2 linked regions of the Arabidopsis thaliana genome follow. The protein of the gene in region 2 interacts with the protein of the main gene of each other region in a biochemical or structural test. Each region holds a gene or a part of one and is shown on either strand. Other genes may lie near its edges.

The links. The genes of interacting proteins can lie anywhere in the genome.
Region 1: the proteins of TRP1 (region 2) and TRFL1 form a complex in vitro, tested with the Arabidopsis thaliana proteins (one study listed by BioGRID).

Annotation. Positions count from the first base shown.
Region 1 is NC_003074.8:17,150,910-17,156,790, reverse strand, and holds TRFL1 (TRF-like 1), read right to left. Parts: upstream 4,332-5,881; 5' UTR 3,708-4,331; intron 3,217-3,707; 5' UTR 3,150-3,216; coding exon 3,069-3,149; intron 3,045-3,068; exon of another isoform or gene 2,975-3,044; coding exon 2,410-2,974; intron 2,343-2,409; coding exon 2,199-2,342; intron 2,113-2,198; coding exon 2,050-2,112; intron 1,961-2,049; coding exon 1,881-1,960; intron 1,798-1,880; coding exon 1,601-1,797; coding exon of another isoform or gene 1,537-1,600; exon of another isoform or gene 1,514-1,536; coding exon 1,220-1,513; intron 1,153-1,219; coding exon 1,089-1,152; intron 1,019-1,088; coding exon 845-1,018; 3' UTR 551-844; downstream 1-550. UniProt on the Arabidopsis thaliana protein: Binds specifically to the plant telomeric double-stranded DNA sequences. At least 2 repeats of telomeric sequences are required for binding. Induces DNA bending.
Region 2 is NC_003076.8:5,955,122-5,960,732, forward strand, and holds TRP1 (tryptophan biosynthesis 1), read left to right. Parts: upstream 1-1,958; 5' UTR 1,959-2,208; coding exon 2,209-2,426; intron 2,427-2,536; coding exon 2,537-2,648; intron 2,649-3,000; coding exon 3,001-3,144; intron 3,145-3,256; coding exon 3,257-3,418; intron 3,419-3,532; coding exon 3,533-3,805; intron 3,806-3,888; coding exon 3,889-3,979; intron 3,980-4,057; coding exon 4,058-4,117; intron 4,118-4,206; coding exon 4,207-4,325; intron 4,326-4,404; coding exon 4,405-4,560; 3' UTR 4,561-4,949; downstream 4,950-5,611. Other genes in the region: AT5G17980 (C2 calcium/lipid-binding plant phosphoribosyltransferase family protein), read left to right, coding at 1-1,624; VDD (VERDANDI), read right to left, coding at 4,950-5,186, 5,277-5,572.

The sequences.
Region 1 (5,881 bases), on a different chromosome or scaffold from region 2:
ATATTAGTTAAGAATCATAATTTTCTTGCTGCGTCAAGTTGCTAAATATATTAGTTTTAAATCGGTAAATATATCAGTCATCATAACTTCTAATAAATTGAACGTTATCCTCTATTATCTCGTCCAGGTCCAAATGTAAACTTCAATATCCTTTTGATTTTATTGCTAATTGCTTTAAATTTTTTCACAAACTCCAATATTCAATGAAAGGCAACAGTTCAGTGAAAAAAAAAAAAAAAAAAGTGGGAAGAGCTTGCCTACTCAATGCTATCTGCAAATATTTGCGAACTTTAGTTCAACATCGACTTCTTTACTGGTTAGAGATCCAGGATTTTGTGCCTTTGTTTGTGGCTATAGCCTTTAAAAGAGGCTTTGAGACCAGCTTATTACTCTGAACGACCCGTATTTAAGGTAAATACCATAGCACACATACCACTCACAAGCACAAGCTTCTGTGTATTCTTTCCTAATATAGGACACATGTGAACCATAAACTGACCAAACATAGACCAGCTTGAGTAACAATTTATCCAACAATTGAATTCTCCAGCACTCCTAGAGTTTGGATGAGGTATATATATATCAGTTCGTTGTCGTTGTGATATGATAGGCCGAGCCATAAATCATATAGACAGAATAAAAATGTCACCAAAGATTTACAACAAATCCTTTACATTGTTAGAAAAAACCCAACCTTATTTCCAATTATAAAACTTTACATTTGAAAGAAAGAAAAAAAAAAACAAAGAAGAACTGAGACCAGATCTTCAACTATGTCAGAATCTTACAATATGGATCATCATAATAATACACAAAGGTTCTTTAGACCAAGAACCTGTTCAGATTAGAGAGCCTCTACCTGAGTGGATGGTGGCTCAGTCTGCAGTTGATGCATTAGGTGTTGTGACCAGTAAGCGTGTGCCTTCAAAACACGGTCCAGAAGTTCCTGTGGCACCGGCTCTCCTCTCCGCTGTTGTGGAGATATCCTTGCCGTGTGGACCAGCGTCTTCCACTTATCCTACAAAGGCAAAGACTCAATACCAAACTGTATATATTAAGGTTAAGAGTTAGTTAAAAAACTAACTAACCTTGAGATCAACATAGGTACGATGGTCTGCGTCCTCGAAAGCACGAACCTTCACATCTCTCCACCTGTAGTTTTCAAACACATTTTGTCAGCAACATGAAGAAGAGAAAGTGCTATTTCTTTGTTTTGTACCTTCCGGTTCCGAGTTTCTCAACGGCTTGGACCAGTGCTTCTACTTCAGTAACTGAGAAAGGTCGACGAATTCTGCGTTGTGCAGCTAGCTGCTGCTCAGTCCTTTTAAACTTACGGTTAGGAGGCCGAGGAGCCAGCATTGCTGCTGAGGCAACAGGAATCAAAGCTCTAGAATGATCACTTGTGCCTAGTTTCCCAAATGAGTCAGCTGGGGATGGTTCTGGCTCATGACTAGAATCCAACGCATTGTCGTGGCATAACGTCACATCATCACAGGCATGATCTGACAGATAACTGGCAGAGAGAAAACAAGGCCCTTAAGCCGCAAAAGATTGATTTTTTATCGATGTGGCATCTCTGAGAGTGAAGAGAAGAGTGAACCTGGATAACAGTGGTTGAGGGGTGGTCTCTAAGCTAGGTTCAAGGCTGAAACCAAGAGAATCCAAGTGGTTGTTCTCCTCAGAGATCCCAGTCTGAAGAAGAGTTTTGCCATCATCTCGGACTTTCTTTCCTTGAACCATCAGCCCGACTCGAAGTCCATCACCCAGTATGGTGGTCACTGCTTCCATCACCATCCGCTGACAACCCCGACATTACAAAAATACAAATATAAGTTCTTCTTGATCAGGATTTTCAGCACAACTAGGTTTTGTTATTACACCTTCAAGGAGCCAACAGTAGCAGTTTCTGGAATCTCTACGAAAAGCTCAGGCACCCTAAAAGACTTGATCCGCAGCTTCACTAAAGAGTAACAAAACAAAACAAAAATATTTCAACGAAACAATAAGCGAACAAAGGATAGATTGAGACTTGAGACTCCATTAAATTACCATGATGATCCCTTGACACAAAGGACGCATTTCGACTTTTCATGGAAGATATTGTTCTGCTTCCTGCGGATGAATTTGCAAAACCGTGTTACAACAGCAAAGACTTACAACATACTAACAAGAGAATGAGAAGATTACAAGTTTTGGACCTTTATGAGTCTTTCCTTGCAAACGGTAATCATCAGAGTTCGAGTCGTAAACACTGTCAAAGTATTTCCTTTTCTTGATGGGATAACTCCTCTGATGATGGTGCAAGTAATAACTCCTCTTTGAGCAATACCATGGCTTTGCATCTGCAAATACCAAACATCAAATCACAATAATAAAGATAGTCAAAACTAAAACAAAAGGCGATTTTACCTGTGTTGTTCTTCGAACCTCCTTTCCAATGTCTAGATGCCAATATCTTCCTAATTCTTCTGTCTCCAATACGAGGCACAGGCCTAGTCATACGAGTTCGAATGTAACCCGAAAAGTTTTCATCATCATCATTTCTACTAAACAAATTTACATCATCCCGAGACTCGTTGGGACTACCGTTCCCACATGCTCCCACCTCGGTACTACTGTTACTACCTATACTAGCTACAACATCAGGCTTTACATCACCACTCACACCCAAACTACTAAAACCCTCCACCTCCTTTCCTACTTTGTCACCTACCAACAAGTGATTAGGATTTGTTATCACAGAGCTAAATCCACACTTGCCATTGTCAAATAGGCTCGGGGATTCCGAATAAGGAACCGCCTTTACGGGGTTTTCATCAGCCGGGTATTCATTCTTTACAGTATTTTGTACAACTAGACACGCGTTTACCGGACTTTTGCTCTCGAGAAGCAAGCTTCCAGCTACGGTGGCCAATAAGTCAATCGCGCACATCTTATCATCTCCTGGTATCTTCTTTTCGTAAATGCGCTTCTTCTAGCAAAAATGTGAACAAACATGCGAGTGATCATTCATGTAACTGATAAATTCTTTAACAGCTAAACAGAGAATATAGCAAAGGGTCATTTACCCGGAGTGATCTCGGAGCTCGAGCTTGAGCAGGTAATTTGTAACCATCATCTCCAAATTCTAAGACTTTATGTGACACCATTACTTGGATGCATAACACAGATGATGTGATTGCCACAAGCGATAAGCAGCGAATAAAACTCACCAATCTGTAGTATATAAGAAACAAGAACCATAAGAAGACTCAATTCAATTCAAGAATCACAGATCGGTAATATCAAATCAAATCTGATAAACCATTCTAAAACCCTAATAAACACAAGATCCGAATTGAAGAACACAAAACGTAATTCAATTATAAAAAAGCTTCGATCTTTGAATTAAAGGATAAACAGATCAACTTAGAACAAAAAGAGAGACACTTTCAAATTCTCAGATCGGAGTTCACAGATCGATGAATGAGATGATTCTGATCATATAAGAAAACGAAAAATTTCAATCGAAGATGATGATAAGTTCAAAAAGATAACAAAAACCCTTTTAAGATCCAAACCAAAAGAACTTGAATTTGAAAATTCCAAATCTAAATTCACATAAAAAATGAATTTTTACTAAGTTTCTCGATGATCAAACAAACACAAAAACTTTTGACAAAATCGAGAACACAAAAACCATCAAAAAAAGTTTAAATCTTTCTCACCTTTCGATGAATCTTCAGTTCCAAGACAATATAGATATCTGAAATTTTTGACAATTTCTCCAGAAAAATGAGAGATCGGAGACGAAGGAATCAGAATTCTTTACGCACTTAATCTAAAATCTTTTCCCCAGTTTTTCCTCTAACCCATGTTTTTTTTACCCAAGAAAGTGATGGAAATTTTTTTTTTTTACTTGTATCAAACGTTACCTATATGATTTTTTTTTCCTTCAACACAAAGGATTTTATCAAATCTCTCTTTTTCGATTACCAAATTATAAACAAAAACCCTTATAAGAAGAACACGACCACGTCTTTCTTGCTTAAACCCCCATAGCCATATAACTCAACCAACCACCGGAGCTACCGGTATTACCAGACCCGTTGTTACCGGTTATAGCAAGTAAAACATTCACCTAAAGACTCGTTGCTTTTCCATGGTCGATGGCCCACGACACACTCGTAACTCGTTAAGTCCTTAGATCTTGACACGTGGTACTGATGTAGTCATCACATGGCTTTGGTTCGTAGCCTTTTGAGTAAATTTCGTCTTGTCATGATAATAATATTAACAAAAAAAAGAATTTCGGGAAAGGAAAAATGTATTTTTGGGTTTATGAGTATTATTTTTAGTTTATATTTGGAATATTCGTTTGTGCTTTTATGTTTTCCTTTTGTATTTTAATATTTTTATTTTTGAGGTTTTTCTTAATAGGAAGAAAATGATAAAATTCCCATAAATATATATATATATATATTTTTTTTTTTGGGCAACATTCCCATAAATATTTATGTTTTAGGAATCACGTAAAAGATAAGATGGTCCCTAGTTTGCTATATTGTATAATTATGAGGTAGTCGATTCATATTAAATGATATTAAATAAAACTGAATATGGTATATGAATTTCATAGTTTTAAAAGAAACATACTTCTTCCGTTTTCATGTTTTAGAACAAAAGTTTTGTATTATTAGATAAGTGTTTAATTTTTAATACAATACTAATTAGTTATTTGCTTTTAATGATTTATATTCTGTAAATTTTTATACTGAAAGAACCGTGTTTTTAGGTAGATAATAAATTACATTTTGATTTCTAAATAAACCAAACAAAATTAAAAGGTAATTTATGTACAAAAACCTTTAACATCATATTAAAATATATATATATTTGTAAAAAATTTATTTTGAAAATAAATGAAAATTTAATAATAATATGAACCATTTTACATAGTAAATGTGACAAGAAAACTAAAACGTAAAGATTCGTTCTCGATCTATAATTGAGTATGTGGGATTCTTCTCCTCAACTATAGCAAAGAGCGAGTTTGTCTTCAAGAACTAATTCAGTGTTTGAATTTGTTGTCAGCTCTAAGTATTGTTCAAATATTTCTCTGTACACTCTCATAATTTCATTTCATACGTCGATTTCTCTAACGTTTCACTCACCATTTTTTTTTTTTTCGTCACTCACCATTTTAATAAATCTGATAAGGGAACGAGTTTAAATTTAACAAAAGCTGAGAAGAAAAAAAAATCAAAAGTCAACATTTACGTTCAAGTTTCAAAATATTATATCCTGTGTTGGACACAAATTATTTTTTTTAGCCCCACAATCATTAATTTGAAAGAAAAAAAAAAAGGCCTACCCCTTTTCCTAAATTACAAATAAAATAATTATGTCATCTTATCCTATCTCGAAAAAGTTCGAAAGGATAAAAGGTGGGTGGTTTTGAATTTATATCATACGAACACCACCGTTCAATATTAAATCTGTTGGAGAGAAAAATAAAAAGAATATTCTAATATGCATACAACCAAACATTTACGCAATTTCATGCATAGAATAGTAAATACGTAATAAGAAAAAAGTACTGTATAGTTTATGTGTTTTTGAGGATTTAAGTATGATGGTAAAATTTGATAGACTTGTCAGTAAAAAATTTAGCTCAGTAAAGAGAATTAATCAGGTTCATTTTCTTATATTATATGTGATCTGGTCCAGTTAACATCTAACATTTGTACAACCCAGAGAAACATTTAACTTTTGTTATGGTTTTTTAATCTTTTTGAAGGGACATCACAAATAGTCGATGAACTTTTCTAAATTTAAAGTCAGGATGTTAAATACTTTTTCTTTGAGATAACAATTAACCAGTCAAAATAATAAGGGTTTA
Region 2 (5,611 bases):
TTCCCAAGTTCAGAAAACCAAATCCGCCGTTACTCGTAACGGAGCTCCGTCATGGAACGAAGATCTACTCTTCGTAGCCGCCGAACCTTTCTCCGATCAGCTTGTTTTCACGTTGGAGTATCGAACATCGAAAGGACCAGTCACCGTCGGAATGGCTCGCGTGCCACTCAGCGCAATCGAGAGACGCGTCGACGATCGCTTGGTTGCTTCGAGATGGTTAGGATTGGAAGATCCAAACGACGAGAAGAGAGGAAACAGATCTAGAGTTCACATTAGGCTTTGCTTCGACGGAGGTTATCACGTGATGGACGAGGCGGCGCACGTGTGCAGTGATTACCGACCTACGGCGAGGCAGTTATGGAAACCAGCGGTGGGAATCGTCGAGCTCGGTATAATCGGTTGCAAAAATCTATTACCGATGAAGACGGTTAACGGAAAAGGATCAACGGACGCGTACACGGTGGCGAAATACGGTTCTAAATGGGTCCGTACCCGAACCGTGTCGGATTCTTTAGATCCGAAATGGAACGAACAGTACACGTGGAAAGTATACGATCCGTGTACGGTTTTGACTATAGGAGTCTTCGATAGCTGGGGAGTATACGAAGTCGACGGTGGAAAAGAAGCCACGCGTCAAGATCTAAGAATTGGAAAAGTACGTATACGTATATCGACGCTGGAGACTGGTAAAGCGTATAGAAATACGTATCCGTTACTGATGTTAGTTAACGGCGGCGTTAAAAAATTGGGAGAGATAGAATTGGCCGTTAGATTCGTGAGAACAGCTCCACCGTTGGATTTCTTACACGTGTATACTCAACCGTTATTGCCTTTGATGCATCACATTAAACCGTTGAGTTTGTTTCAAGAAGATATGTTGAGGAACACTGCAGTGAAGATCTTGGCCGCACATTTGTCACGATCTGAGCCGCCTTTAAGGCCGGAGATAGTACGGTATATGCTCGACGCCGATACTCATACTTTCAGTATGCGTAAAGTCAGAGCAAATTGGCTTCGGATAGTGAATGTAGTCGCCGGAATGGTCGACGTGGTGCGGTGGGTTGATGACACCCGTTTCTGGAAGAATCCGACATCAACTTTACTAGTTCACGCACTTGTCGTGATGCTGATTTGGTTCCCGGATCTTATCGTACCGACATTAGCGTTTTACTTGTTCGTGATTGGTGCGTGGAATTATAGGTTCAGGTCACGTGCTGCTCTACCACATTTCGATCCAAGACTCTCGTTAGCTGATGCAGCTGATAGAGACGAGCTCGACGAGGAGTTTGACGTCGTACCGAGCAACCGACCACCGGAGATGGTTCGGTTGAGGTACGATAAGCTACGAAACGTCGGAGCTAGAGTTCAAACGATTCTTGGTGAAGTGGCTGCGCAAGGGGAGAAGATGCAAGCTTTGGTGACGTGGCGTGACCCACGAGCGACTGGTATATTCGTGGGGCTGTGTTTCTTTGTGGCGTTGGTGTTGTATCTTGTGCCGACGAAGATGGTGGCTATGGCGTCAGGGTTTTATTACTTCCGGCATCCTATTTTCCGTGATCGGAAACCTTCTCCGGTGTTAAATTTCTTCCGGCGACTACCATCATTATCTGATCGGCTCATGTAATATTGTTTTTTTTTTTGGAGGGGATGTATATATAGTTTGGGTCGTTTAACCTTGTTGGGCCTTATTGGGTTATAATGGGCCACTAAATGGATTTTTATATGATTTCCTATTATAGGTGCTGTGTTTGACCATGTCTAAAACAAAGAAGTGTTTGGTATGACAAAATTGATGAACCTACTTTTTGAGCAGAGTGGTAAATGTGCGGAAATAAGCACACAAGGAAATCGTTGTTGGTGACTAACAAAAGGAGTTATCCACTGCCCAAGCATTACCAACTACCACCAACCAAACTCAATTTGGAAATTTCAAAGGTCCATTAGTCAAAGCAGCATTAAGTCATTCAGTAATCAACAAATATATTCATATGAAACCCAAAATAAAATAAAATAAACACTTTTCAAGAAAAAAATAAAATACTGAGTACTAAACTGGAAACCCTTTATAAGCAAAAAGACCAAAAGTTAAAAGTTAATTAAGATTTGGTTTAAGGCGCTTTGCTTTATTAGAGAGGAAGGAACGAACCATCATAGAAATCTCTCCTTCGTTCAAGTTTTTCTCTACTGTGTTGGTTGAGCAATCGAGTGATGGTTATTGCGGTGGCGACGACGAGCTCCATTGTTTCCGGAATCAAGCTTTCAGGGATCTTAACTTCGTTCAACGCCGTAGATGATGCGTCCAGTAGTTGCGGAAGAAGCAACTTGACCGGAGTTAGAATTTTTCCGACATTGAGTCGGCGACGATTCTCATCGATCGGAGCTGTTTCCCCAATTCGTGGGGATGCTCAATCTTCCTTTAGTCGCAGGTAAAGCCTCGATTTTTGGGTTTAGGTGTCTGCTTATTAGAGTAAAAACACATCCTTTGAAATTGTTTGTGGTCATTTGATTGTGCTCTTGATCCATTGAATTGCTGCAGCTCTTTCGCTTGCTCTCAGAATCTCGGTTTGAGCGGTGGATTTAGTGCAGCTGAAGCTCTGCCACCTGCTTGTGCAAATGCTAGCCCTTCTTCCATTAAATCTTTCAACCAGGTGACTCTTCATTTCTATTTTCAGGATAAGTTTGTGGTTTGATGATCCCTTGTTTCTAAGTCTCTTGATTTGTGAACAATTCAGGGTTTTTATATATCTGTATCTGTATTTCTGAGTTGGGTTGAGTTATTGGCTTCATGCTGACTAAACATGTTTGGCCCTGTGTGTTCTTCGAATTTCATTTTAATTGCTTGATGGGTTTTATTGACTTGAGTAAAAGTGTACTACTTTATAGGTTTTAAAAGAGTTTTACTTTTGGTGATTTTCCAATGGCTTTGAAGAGAGAGATTTAAATCATGGGGTTACTATGTTCTCATACTGCGTTTGCTCTGTTCTGTTGTTTTTCTTTCAGTTGATTGAAACCTTGATTGATCGGGTTGATCTATCTGAAACTGAGGCTGAATCATCTCTTGAGTTTTTGCTGAATGAGGCAAACGAGGCGCTGATCAGTGCCTTTCTAGTTCTTCTGAGAGCTAAAGGAGAGACATACGAAGAGGTAAGTATCCATTAAGTCAATCTAGGCTTATAATAAAAAAGTATACATAATCCTATATTACTGCACTTCAATAAGTTAACTCAACGTTCACTTTAATTCGGATATTGGGTAGATTGTGGGGTTAGCTAGGGCAATGATGAAGCATGCCAGGAAAGTGGAAGGATTAGTTGATGCTGTGGACATAGTTGGAACAGGTGGTGATGGAGCAAACACAGTCAATATATCAACTGGATCTTCAATACTTGCTGCAGCTTGTGGTGCAAAAGTAGCAAAGGTATAACGAATGAGAAAATCCTTAAAAGAAACGATATATTTAAATTTTGACTATCTGCATTAATGCTAAATGATCTTCGTCTGGTCGTCTAACTAATGGATACTTATTTTGCAGCAAGGGAATCGTTCAAGTTCTTCTGCTTGTGGAAGTGCTGATGTACTAGAGGCACTAGGAGTGGTTCTGGACTTGGGACCAGAGGGCATTAAAAGATGTGTTGAAGAAGGGGGGATCGGTTTTATGATGTCACCAATGTATCATCCAGCTATGAAGATCGTTGGTCCTGTTCGGAAAAAGCTTAAAATTAAAACTGTTTTTAACATATTGGGACCTATGCTTAATCCTGCTAGAGTTTCTTATGCTGTCGTTGGTGTATACCACAAAGATCTGGTACATTTACTTATTGCTGAAATTAGTTTGTTCATCAACAAAAACAAGACATTTACTTACCATTTGCTTGTGTGGTTTCATAGGTTGTTAAGATGGCAAAGGCACTGCAACGATTTGGAATGAAAAGAGCACTGGTGGTTCATTCATGTGGTCTAGACGAAATGAGTCCGTTAGGTAAGATTATCTCTTCCCAAAATTGATTACTTTTATTATTGAACAATTATTAACCAATCATGGCTTAACGAAAAACAGGAGGAGGACTAGTTTATGATGTAACTCCGGAAAAGATCGAAGAATTCTCATTCGACCCATGTAATGTTTCCTCTAGCTTTTTATCCCTTCTCTAAAATGAATATTGCAGATGCAGCTTAATGAAATTGAAGCTTATTTCTTTTTGACAGTGGACTTTGGTATTCCTCGTTGTACTCTTGAGGATTTGCGAGGTGGAGGTCCAGACTACAATGCGGATGTGCTAAGACGTGTGCTTTCAGGGGAAAGTGGAGCAATTGCGGATTCATTGGTATGTTTTGATTTGCCGATTCAACATTCTCTGAACTTCTGCAATTTGTTCATCCTTTTTTTTCAAAATCTTGTTTCAGATCCTAAACGCAGCTGCAGCTCTTCTGGTTAGCAACCGAGTTCAAACGCTAGCTGAAGGAGTAACCGTGGCACGTGAAGTACAATCGTCTGGGAAAGCTATCAAGACGCTTGATTCTTGGATAAACATCTCAAACTTAGCTCAGAAATCTCAGTGACCAGAAGAGGCTTATGATATTGTTGTATTCAACGGATCACCTTTGCAAGCAATTGTAGATGAAGATGGAGGCAATGTGCCAAAGGAAGAAGCTGGAGTTATTTGTAACTTAAGTTTTCTTTGTCAAACAATAAAGAGAAGAGACCGGAGCGAGCTCTATACACATTCATCATGTAAACACTACAACAATAATCTTTAATAAAATGAATAAATCTGTTTTACTCAAACGGAGTTCAGATTCATCATTGGGATACAAATCAAACCTAAGTAGTAAGTAGAAAAACAAAATTATAAAATTAGTCCTAACATTGAATCACAGACCATAATCTTGTTCCGAAGTTCTTCACTAATTCTGCAACTACACCTAAAATATCATCATCGTCATGGTGTCTATTCTTTGGAGACTTTCACACGCATCTCTGTCGGTTTGATGAGCTTGAACGTACAAACATCTCCGACCAGTAAACCTAACTCCTTGGCCAAACGACTCCATCCACCAGAGAATCTTGATTGTACATCAGTGACCACATATGTAACATCCCATGACTTCTTTCCTCTCGGATAATGAATCTTGAACATCGTTGTCTCAGTTGGCATATGCATATCCACAAATTTCTTTGGGATCCCCTGAATCACAGATTTTCATTAGATTAATACACACTTTTATACATAGCCATTTCGACAGTGTGTCACTGGTCTTGTCTTGCTTAATCTTACCAAGAACAGAAGGTGTGATTTCTTTATGGTGAGCTTGAATTCTGGAATAAGAGATGAAGTACCGGCTTCAGAGTCGTTACTAACAGTTTCCACCTTCTTCTTCTTACTCGTCTTGGATTTTTCGGTTTTATCGGCTTCCTTCTTTCTCAAGTTAAGCTCCTGTTTCTGCGTCAATCTCCCACTTGTAGATTCAGCTGTTTTGTGACAAGGATGGCTCGATTCAGACCAAGACTCTATCTCTTCTTCCTTCTTCACATCTTTGTAGATGCTCTTCCTCTCTTCTCTCTTGTTCCGACCTGTTTGCATCAAAATCAACCACAGAAGTAACTAATGAC